2 linked regions of the Drosophila melanogaster genome follow. The protein of the gene in region 1 purifies or fractionates together with the protein of each later gene. This does not show direct contact. Each region holds a gene or a part of one and is shown on either strand. Other genes may lie near its edges. The genes, in order: Ciao1 and galla-1.

Evidence for each region.
Region 2: the proteins of Ciao1 (region 1) and galla-1 purify together in Drosophila melanogaster (affinity purification with western blotting; 2 studies listed by BioGRID, with this or other methods). This does not show direct contact.

What each region holds. Positions count from the first base shown.
Region 1 is NT_033778.4:14,853,363-14,857,241, forward strand, and holds Ciao1 (Ciao1), read right to left. Parts: upstream 1,687-3,879; 5' UTR 1,598-1,686; coding exon 590-1,597; 3' UTR 501-589; downstream 1-500. Other genes in the region: Ercc1, read left to right, coding at 1-193, 252-440; HPS1 (Hermansky-Pudlak syndrome 1), read left to right, coding at 2,150-3,879. UniProt on the Drosophila melanogaster protein: Essential component of the cytosolic iron-sulfur (Fe/S) protein assembly machinery. Required for the maturation of extramitochondrial Fe/S proteins.
Region 2 is NT_033778.4:20,668,972-20,674,064, forward strand, and holds galla-1 (galla-1), read left to right. Parts: upstream 1-2,232; 5' UTR 2,233-2,412; coding exon 2,413-2,707; intron 2,708-2,774; coding exon 2,775-2,887; intron 2,888-3,147; coding exon 3,148-3,298; intron 3,299-3,368; coding exon 3,369-3,466; 3' UTR 3,467-4,524; downstream 4,525-5,093. Other genes in the region: exu (exuperantia), read right to left, coding at 1-924, 1,008-1,160, 1,230-1,379. UniProt on the Drosophila melanogaster protein: Component of the crb-galla-Xpd (CGX) complex which is essential for proper mitotic chromosome segregation in early embryos. The CGX complex is also required for cell proliferation in developing wing disks.

The sequences.
Region 1 (3,879 bases):
GGTCCAGGTGGACACACCAGAGCCAAACAATGCCCTCAAGAGCTTGACCAGGATATCACTGTTAGCCGACCTGACAATGATGTTGGCCTGGAACGCTGAGGAGGCGGGCAAAATCATTGAGACGTACAAACAGTTCGAGAAGCGTCCGCCAGATTTGATCATGGAGCGAGTGGAGTCTAATCCACACCAGAAGGTACGCATGTTTACATTGCCAGTATCGCCACTGTAATGCAATATCCCAATGTCCATAGCTACTCGCTGCTCTCACCAACATCAAGCCGGTGAACAAGACTGATGCTGCCGCCTTGCTGCACACCTTTGGCAACCTGGGCAACATAATCAATGCCAGCGAGGAGCGACTCTCCCAGGTGATGGGACTGGGTCCCCGGAAGGCCAAGAAGCTGTACAAAACGTTGCAGGAACCGTTCCTCAGCAAATAGCAATCCATATTAGGTGTAATGCATCCCATAATCGTGTATGACACACTTCATCCATCATTTGAATACTTTAATTTTTTATTACGCAGACACTGTACAAAAATTAAGTTCCAGAATTACCCACTTAAATATATCAAACAATAATCCTTATGTTACTCGGTCACTTTCCAAATTTTAATGGTGCCATCATCGCTGCATGATATCAGTTGCCCGGCCACCACAGGATTCCACTGCACCGAGTTTACGTCCTGATCGTGAGCGCCTTCCTCCGCGGTTATCTGCTCGAACGTGGGTTCGTCTGGCTTGGAGTCGCTGCTCTCCTTAAAGATACGAATGCCGTCGTCGCCACAGGCAGTCGCTATCAGACCTGTAAGCTTGCACCAGGACACGTCGTAGATAGCCCGCGAGTGCTGCCCGGACACTGTGCACACGCACTTCCACACGGTTTGCTGGTCGGGCGTAGCCACTCCGGCTGTATTTCCGGGATGGTAGGCCCTCCAAATCTTTATTGTGGTGTCATCGCTACAGGAAACCAGGCGCTCGCCATCAGCATCGAAGTCAATGCCCCAAACCGTGCTTGTGTGTGAAGTAAGAGTGGCTGTGCAATCCCAGTCGTTGTCTATGGGCTCCTCTGCGAACATTTTTATGGTATTGTCGTACGAGGCGGAGGCCAAAATGTCCTTGGTTGGATGCCACACCACTCTCTTCACGTCCTGTGTGTGCGGGTTCAAAACGGCGGCGCACTCGAACTCATCATCGCCGGCAACCTCCCAGATCCACACGGACTTGTCCCGCGAACAGGTGGCCAGTAGTCCGCCGGATCGCGACCAGCTAACGCTCTTCACCTCGTTTTCGTGACCCTCCAATGTTGCGTTGCATTCGAATTCTCCCGAGGATTTCGACCAGATCGCCGTGGTGGCATCAAAGCTGGCCGAGGCCAAGTACTGACCGCATGGAGACCATCGGATCTCGCGAATAGTGCGCTTGTGGCCATCGGATAGGATGGTCTTTGTGCTCCAAGTGTTCCCGGTCAGCGACCAAATGCGGATGGCTTTGTCCTCGCCGCACGAGGCGAATACGTTGCCCTTAGGATGCCATGCCACTCCCCAGATGCGCCCCTTGTGGCCCTGCAGCGTGTGTTCCAGAATTAAACGTCCCATTGATGGTCAAGTGCTGTATTAGTGGACAAATCACTGTCTGTCCAAATAATGATAACATAAGCGCATGTCGCAAGAAGAAGAAAGTCAGCTGTCGTCAGTGTGGTCAAACGTCGGCAGAAGTCGTTCATCTAGCTTAATTTGTAAATCGGGATAAAATTAAATTTTAAAATTGTGTTCTTCATATCTAAGCAAAGCGATATTGCTTTGCAATAATAAAAAAATGCAATAAATTTGAAAATTCATATATTATAAATTATAAATTAATTTGATCAGGAAACTTATTACAGTTCAATACTTAGTAACTCAACTAAAAGCAATTTCAATTGGCAATTCGGATAAAAAAAGTCGAACGTATACTAGGCTTTTAATATATAATTCTGGCTTGAAAAGCGTTGAATTGCTCAGAGCTGAATCGCTCTAGTGTTGTTAAATGCTGACTTGAAGTCTTCACCTTTTCTTATCAGAACACACACCGAATTCCGTTACCCAGCACCAGTGACACTGGTGAAAGTTTTGTTGTGTATTTGGTGTTTTGCCAATGCTGATAAGAAAATGAACGGACTGATTGTGTTTAACAGCGCCAACGATGTTGTATACCAGAAGCTTAACGAGCCGCTGGCGCAGAAGATCCGGAGTGTGGCCACCACCCAGGGCCTGCTCCAGTCCGGCGGCTCCCTGGACAGCAACATACTGCTGCAGATTTTCAGCCCCATCGTTGGATCTCAGCGAATAATGCAGTGCCAGTTCGATAATGCCTACTCCAGCCTGCAGTGTGAGCAAGGCTTCAATTTGGTGTTCGGCGAACTTCTTGGCTTCACCTTTCTGAAGATCGGACAAATACCCGTGGAGCTGCTGGGTCGCCAAATGGGTGTGGCCATTACGCTGACGCGCTATTGTTACGGCGCCAATTTGTTTGCCGCCCAGGCGGGGGCCATGCAACAGGAGTTGCTGACGCAGTGCCTCGACTGCTATGAGACTTTGTTGTGGGAGGAGGATCAGACGTACCTGCTGGAGGCCATGCCCAGGCTGCTGATCAACACGGAACTAAAGAGGACAGTGCATCTGACGCTGGACGCCACGCTTGAGCACTTGCGCCAGCTCGGACTGCCCCGAGCCCACGCCCTGTTGCTCGTTTCCAACAAGCTGGTGGCCGCGAACAGCACTCGGCAAGCTCTGCCGCTTGCTGCCGCCGACCTACTCTTCCTCAGCCTCATGTCACGCGCCCTGCAAGCGCCAAAGTCCCCTTCCCAGCGAGCAGTAGCTGTATTCCTGCAGGGTGTCTCCTATGATGTGAACTCTGGCTGCGTTCCCAGTATCGTGCACATCTCGCGTCTCCATGGTAACCAAGTTCTCCTGCAGGTCATCGAGTACGCCCACATGCCACTGACCAGCTGCATCTACGATTCCTTCTTTGTGCTTCAAAAAATCGTGGCTGTTCAGCATCAGGGCGATTCGGATGCCCTGAAGCCCGCCTTCGAGAACCTCGAATCGTTTATTGTGCAGGCCTTGACCGCTTTGAAGCGATATCTGAAACAGCGATCGGAAACCGATGACCTAGAGAACTGCACGAAGAAGTTCGCCGCTAAATGGGAGAATCTTCGCAAGATGTACACTGAGTACTTCAAGAACTTTGAGCGGGAGCTGCTCGTGAGGATTGAGTCGAATTTGCCCTCGTTCGGAGAGGAACTGAAGCAGATATTCACACTGGCCTGCTGCGACAGCTCAAGTGTCCATGAGCTGGATCAACTCTCTGATACGGCAGCGAATGTGGAAGCCAAGCTACTGGAGTTCGCTGAATTTCTGGCCGTTAAGGCCACTCGTAACATATCCATTGATGCTTATTTGGAGGATTTTCCGGGTCTGGTGCACTTTATGTACGTCAATCGCAGCCGAGGACAAATGCTTGCTCCGGATCTGCGACCGAACCAGCTGGTGCCAAAGACAAAACTCTGGAGCATGGTGGAGATCGCGAGAAATTACCTTAAGAAGGGCCAGACCACAGTGATGTGGAAGGATAAGGCATTCCATTACTCGTACTTCCTCTGGTTCGAGGACATGTCTGGTGGCGTTCTTAGTACCGTCGTGGATTTGCAGCACCACTTTCTGTCCACAGGAGCAGCCAGTGGCAACGGTTCGAAATCCCCAACAGAACCAGGTGCTCTTACAATGGACTATTACCACGATCTGGCGGAGTTGTGCTTCCCCAAGCTGTCACCGGCCAAAGTGCGCGTCTACGAGTTGTATTGCATTCATCTGGGACTGGTAACCGCCACATGCGCCGT
Region 2 (5,093 bases), 5.8 Mb from region 1:
CTTGACAACCGGCTTCACCGTGGTCTTCTTGGGATCGAAATAGCTGTCCAGAAGCTCGAGCAGCTCCGCCTTGTCCTTGCTCTTTAGCCGGCCAATTGACTGCAGGGCTATGTCCAGGCCCTCGATGTTTTTCTCTGCCCAGATGGCACTTAGCGTGTTCAAATCGAACCCATTCTCGGCCAGCACAATGCGGAACTTTACGGCACGCACACGATGGTACAGAGTGGTCTTGAAGTAGTTCAGGAACACCGGACGGAAGGAGTTTTGACGCTCCAAATTTTCGATCTGGATATCCAGCTCCAGGACATCGGACACCACCAACTTGGCAAACGGACGTATGGCATTAAACATATTCTCCAATGCCTCCGAGCTTTTTGGTTCCGGCTTGCCGTCGGAGTTGCTCAGCTGAAGGGCCACATCAAAGGCCAATTTGGCACGAACACTGGCATTGCCATCAAACAGTTCCCGCTTACCCTGAACGGCGTTCTTGCTAGATTGCTTATCGTCACCATTGGTCACGGTACTGTCCCTGGGGGATATCGATACCGAATCGGACACCATACTAGATCCAGATCCCAAGCCAGATCCAGATCCAGATGTGGACGCAGAGCAAGCCGCGTCTTCCTCCTTGGTCGTGGACAAGATCTTGGAAAGCTTTCGCAGACTGTAGTTCTTTATGTTGGCATCGCCAATGGAAGCCTTGGCCAGATTGATGCTGTTTGCAAACGACTTCACCGACGCGGTGAAGCGCTCCAACAGGCCGTACTTCTTCAACGACTCCAGGATCATGTAGGGAATGAACTTGCGCTCTTCATGATAGATAAGCACAATCCCGTCCGAGCTGGGACCCGCCTTGGTCTTCAGTTGCTCAAGCCAGTTGAGGAAGTCCTTGAGGGCAGCGATCTCAGACTTGGATTTAATGATCTGAGAGGATATTGTATGTTGAATTGTGGATGCTTCAATACTTGACTGCCACTATTAAATGGACTGGACTGCACTGGACTCACCTTATAAGTCTGCATCGACTTCAGCATACGATAAAAGCCAATCGAAATAACACGAACTTGATGACGCTGGCGAGCAGCTGGATTCAGATTCATATATGGCATGATGTACTGCTCGAAGTGGTCGGTGGGTGTATAAGCGGCCAGCTGGACAATCTGTGGGTTTATCGCAAGTGGGGTTAGGACCGAACGACGAACGATCTAACGGCAGTCAGGGGGTATTACCTCATCCATTAGACGACGTCCAGTGGTGTCGATATCCACGCCCACCAGGATATAATTACCGGCCGGCAGCTCAACTTTATCGCCCACGGGCGACGAGGATTGATCGGCGACGGCAATGGCCACTCCGGCATCGATGTTATCGGCAACCATTTTCTTATATGATCTGCGAAAAGCAATCTAGAAAATTCGGATAACGAAATTAGCTGAGTCACTAGAATTTTTTTTTTTTAAGGAACCGATTTCCTTTGCAAAACGCGAACCGCTTTCACTAGATTTTCGATATGAAGTGACGGGCTACGAATTTTCAAGAGTCTATTAAACCCAAAGCTACAACTAACGGTTTTCTTCCAGTGGCGCCATCTTTTACACAGATGTTTTTATGTGTATGTATGTATGTTCACTTTCACCACACTTTAGCACTTTTCTTTTGGGCTCACCTTTATTGAACTCCTTTTTCGTGTTGGTTTCGATGGGCTCTTTCGCTTTTTACGAACTTTTTCCTTTATTTTTCAAAAGGTTAAAGCGAAATTTGCTTCTGTTCGACGAGCTTTCACAAATAAGAAACAATTCGTACGACTAACTAAAACGTAATGAATAATTTCCTGATGCACCCGACGGCCTAGGAAAAGTGCGCGAATTTGACATATGCAAAGCCTGCTAATCGAGGTTTTTGACTTAAGTACGATGGGTTAGACAGCTGCAACTCGTCCACATCTTGCCACAACGCCCACTGTGCAGGTGAAAACTTTTTGCAGAATATTTTTACCGCTGCTATAATAAAATATAGTCTTTCAGCTTGTAAATAAATTTTTTTCCAATTATTAGCCGGCAAAATTGGTGGGTAAACAACAAATATTTGGACAAAAGCGCAGACAAGAACTGATAAGAGGATCAGGGATGACGAATTTCAAATGGTTGCGCCAGAGATGACAGGGTATCGATATCACTATCGATAGACTTATCGAAGACGGCTTAGCACTTATACCTACTCTGCAGCCCTGGTCGGCAGAAAAACAATAATCAGCTGATGCCATCGCTTATTTCCAACAATTTGCACCGCAAAAGTGAAGAATTACCAAGCAAATAGATCGCCTGCCGACCGAATTATGCTGCTGTAATCACCCAAGCACACAACGGTAAAGATAAAACCAGGCGAGATAACACCACGCACAGGTGCCACAACATGCTGTCCTACATAAAGCGCAAGCTCTCCGAATCCGACAGCGGCGTCAGTTCGGTCGCAACTGTGACGTCGTCGTGCGGCGGCGATAGTGGGAGAGCGGGCGGAACGGGCAGCAGTGAAAGCGGTACGGGCAGCAGCAGCGCCAGTATCAGCGGACGCAGCCAGAACGCCGACGAGTTAGTGCGCAAAACGAGCCAGATGTCGATGGATGATGAGGCCATTGCCTTCGGGGAGGACGCACTGCTCCATGAACTGGGCTACAAGAATCAGACGGAACTGCAGGAAACCATCTACGGTTCGATATTTAATGGCATTCTTTTTCACTTTGGCCTAGTTATGTAATTTCTCTTGTCGTTACACAGATCTGTTGCGCGGCATTCGCGATCCCGAGAAGCCGTGCACTTTGGAGGACCTCAACGTTGTCTACGAGGATGGAATCTTTGTGATGCCGCCCACGCGCTCCAATGTCTCAGTTGTACGTTACTCAATATCTTTATAAGCCATAAGCTTGAGCCCTAATCATCATTTCATCATAAGTTAAATCTGCGCGTGTGTTTATTTGCTTTCATCACTATTGTTGCTTAATATTTGAAAGGATTAACGATTTAGCTTCAAAATGACTTTAAAATTGATCTCATAGCTTAAAGTACTTGTATTATACTAAATCCACACCTCATAAATCTTTTGTGTAGTAAAAAGTTGAAATGCATGGTATTTGTCTCTTAATTCTTTCAGGTTCGCATCGAGTTTAACCCCACAGTGCCACATTGCTCGTTGGCCACGCTTATTGGACTCTGTATACGCGTGAAAGTAGAACGCGGACTTCCGCACAACATAAAGCTAGACATATACATCAAGAAGGGAGCGCATCAAACCGAGGAAGAGAGTAAGTTGGACCAACCAGATACTATTATCATACATATGTGTTCTAAGTAAAAATGATTACGTTTCCCCAGTTAACAAGCAAATCAATGACAAGGAGCGCATCGCTGCGGCCATGGAGAACCCCAATCTGAGGGATTTGGTCGAGAACTGCATCAAGGATGAGGAGTAGCTCTCTTTGCCATATCTTTTGTACATAGGGAATACTTTGAGGAATGTCTAGGATTAAGTGTACCATTAAGTTGCATCAGGGAGTGTGTGCTTAGCATTAAAGCCCTTAAAATCTGTTAATCGCTCGGCCGTTTTGATTCCACCAGAATATCGATTGCTCAACGTCCTATCTATTTTCCCGCCTATGCTGCTTACTGATAAGGTCCCCCGGGCCCAACAACTCTCATTGTTTACATTGTGCCGAAGCGATATGGCCGTCGGACATTCGGCCCAAGAAAACCGTGTGCACATCGGTGTCATGGCGGGTGAATGAATCTGAATCGCAATCGTATCGATGGGCCGGCCATGTTGGGCACCAGCCAGACGGCGTGTACGTCACACGGATTTATCAGCTTCAGAAGAGTAGAGAATGTTTGGGGCGTAACGCAGGGTAATCACCTGCCGTTGGCGCTGTTAAGTTGAGTGCATGACACACATTCGACTCAACTCGACTCGGCTAATTTCTTTGCAACTCTCCGGTTTCAGTGAGCACTTTGTTGCCATGACTGTCGCTGTTTCTGCTCCAATTTGCATTTCCGGGGTTTTCCATTTGTTAAATTGCACTGCACTTCCGCTCATTTCGCTCTTACTGCTCCCCCCACCAAAGTGGCAAGCCATAAATATTAAGCAATATCAATTAGTTGCTTGCCATCGCGCTCAAAATGCTTTAAACTAATTTCCAAAGACTTAGGCAAAAAACATCCCCACCAGCAATTAAAACCATCTGGCGCTGCGAACTTTTTGCCATGACACCGCTGGCCAATATTCACGGAATGGAAACCGGACCAGAGCAGACCCTTCGTGCCCCTAAGGCGTGCCGCGTGCCTCAGAAGGCGAGGGAAAAATAATAAAAATGAATGCGCAGACAAAAGCATATTGCGAATATTACGCTAATTGGCGACTGCAATCAAAGCGGACCTCGGCCTGGACACGTCGGCCGAAAGGAATAGGAGTGGCAGACACTAGCTTCTCCCAGCCTTCCAGCAGCCGTGTCGCCAGCCTGACCATGACCGAAGCCATCGGAGAAGCTTGTGCCCCCCAGCTCCACCACGCGGTTTTCAGGTGAACAGTAATTGGAGGCAGACTGGTCTGCTACTTGTTATCAATCTATATTATGTGGATATCCGTATAAAATAAACACTTTAAAACCAATATTTAAACTGATTACATTAATACATAATAGTTGATAATCATAATTCTTGGAATAGATAATGAGTAGAATCCATTTAATATGAGCTACTGGAGTGACACCTTTAATAACCACCGAAGAGCACGTGAACAGAGACTTGGGACACAGCCATAATGACTCAGTTGACACACCGGCAATGGCCCAGGAAGGAGTCATGGGAGATGATGGCCTGGACTGCGACAGAATTTTATGTGCGAAAAATGCATAATTTATTCTGTTAATGCATATGCATTTAAGCCGAGCCAACAACTGCAGCAATTCCCCAGGATTTGCTGACCGGCAATTGTCATTTGTGCAGCGGTCAAAGTGACCCATTTAATCCCGTCCTGCAGTGCCCGCCCAGTGCCACGCCCCTGCTCCCACAACCCCCGGGTTACATAACCCCCGAGTACATAAGTAG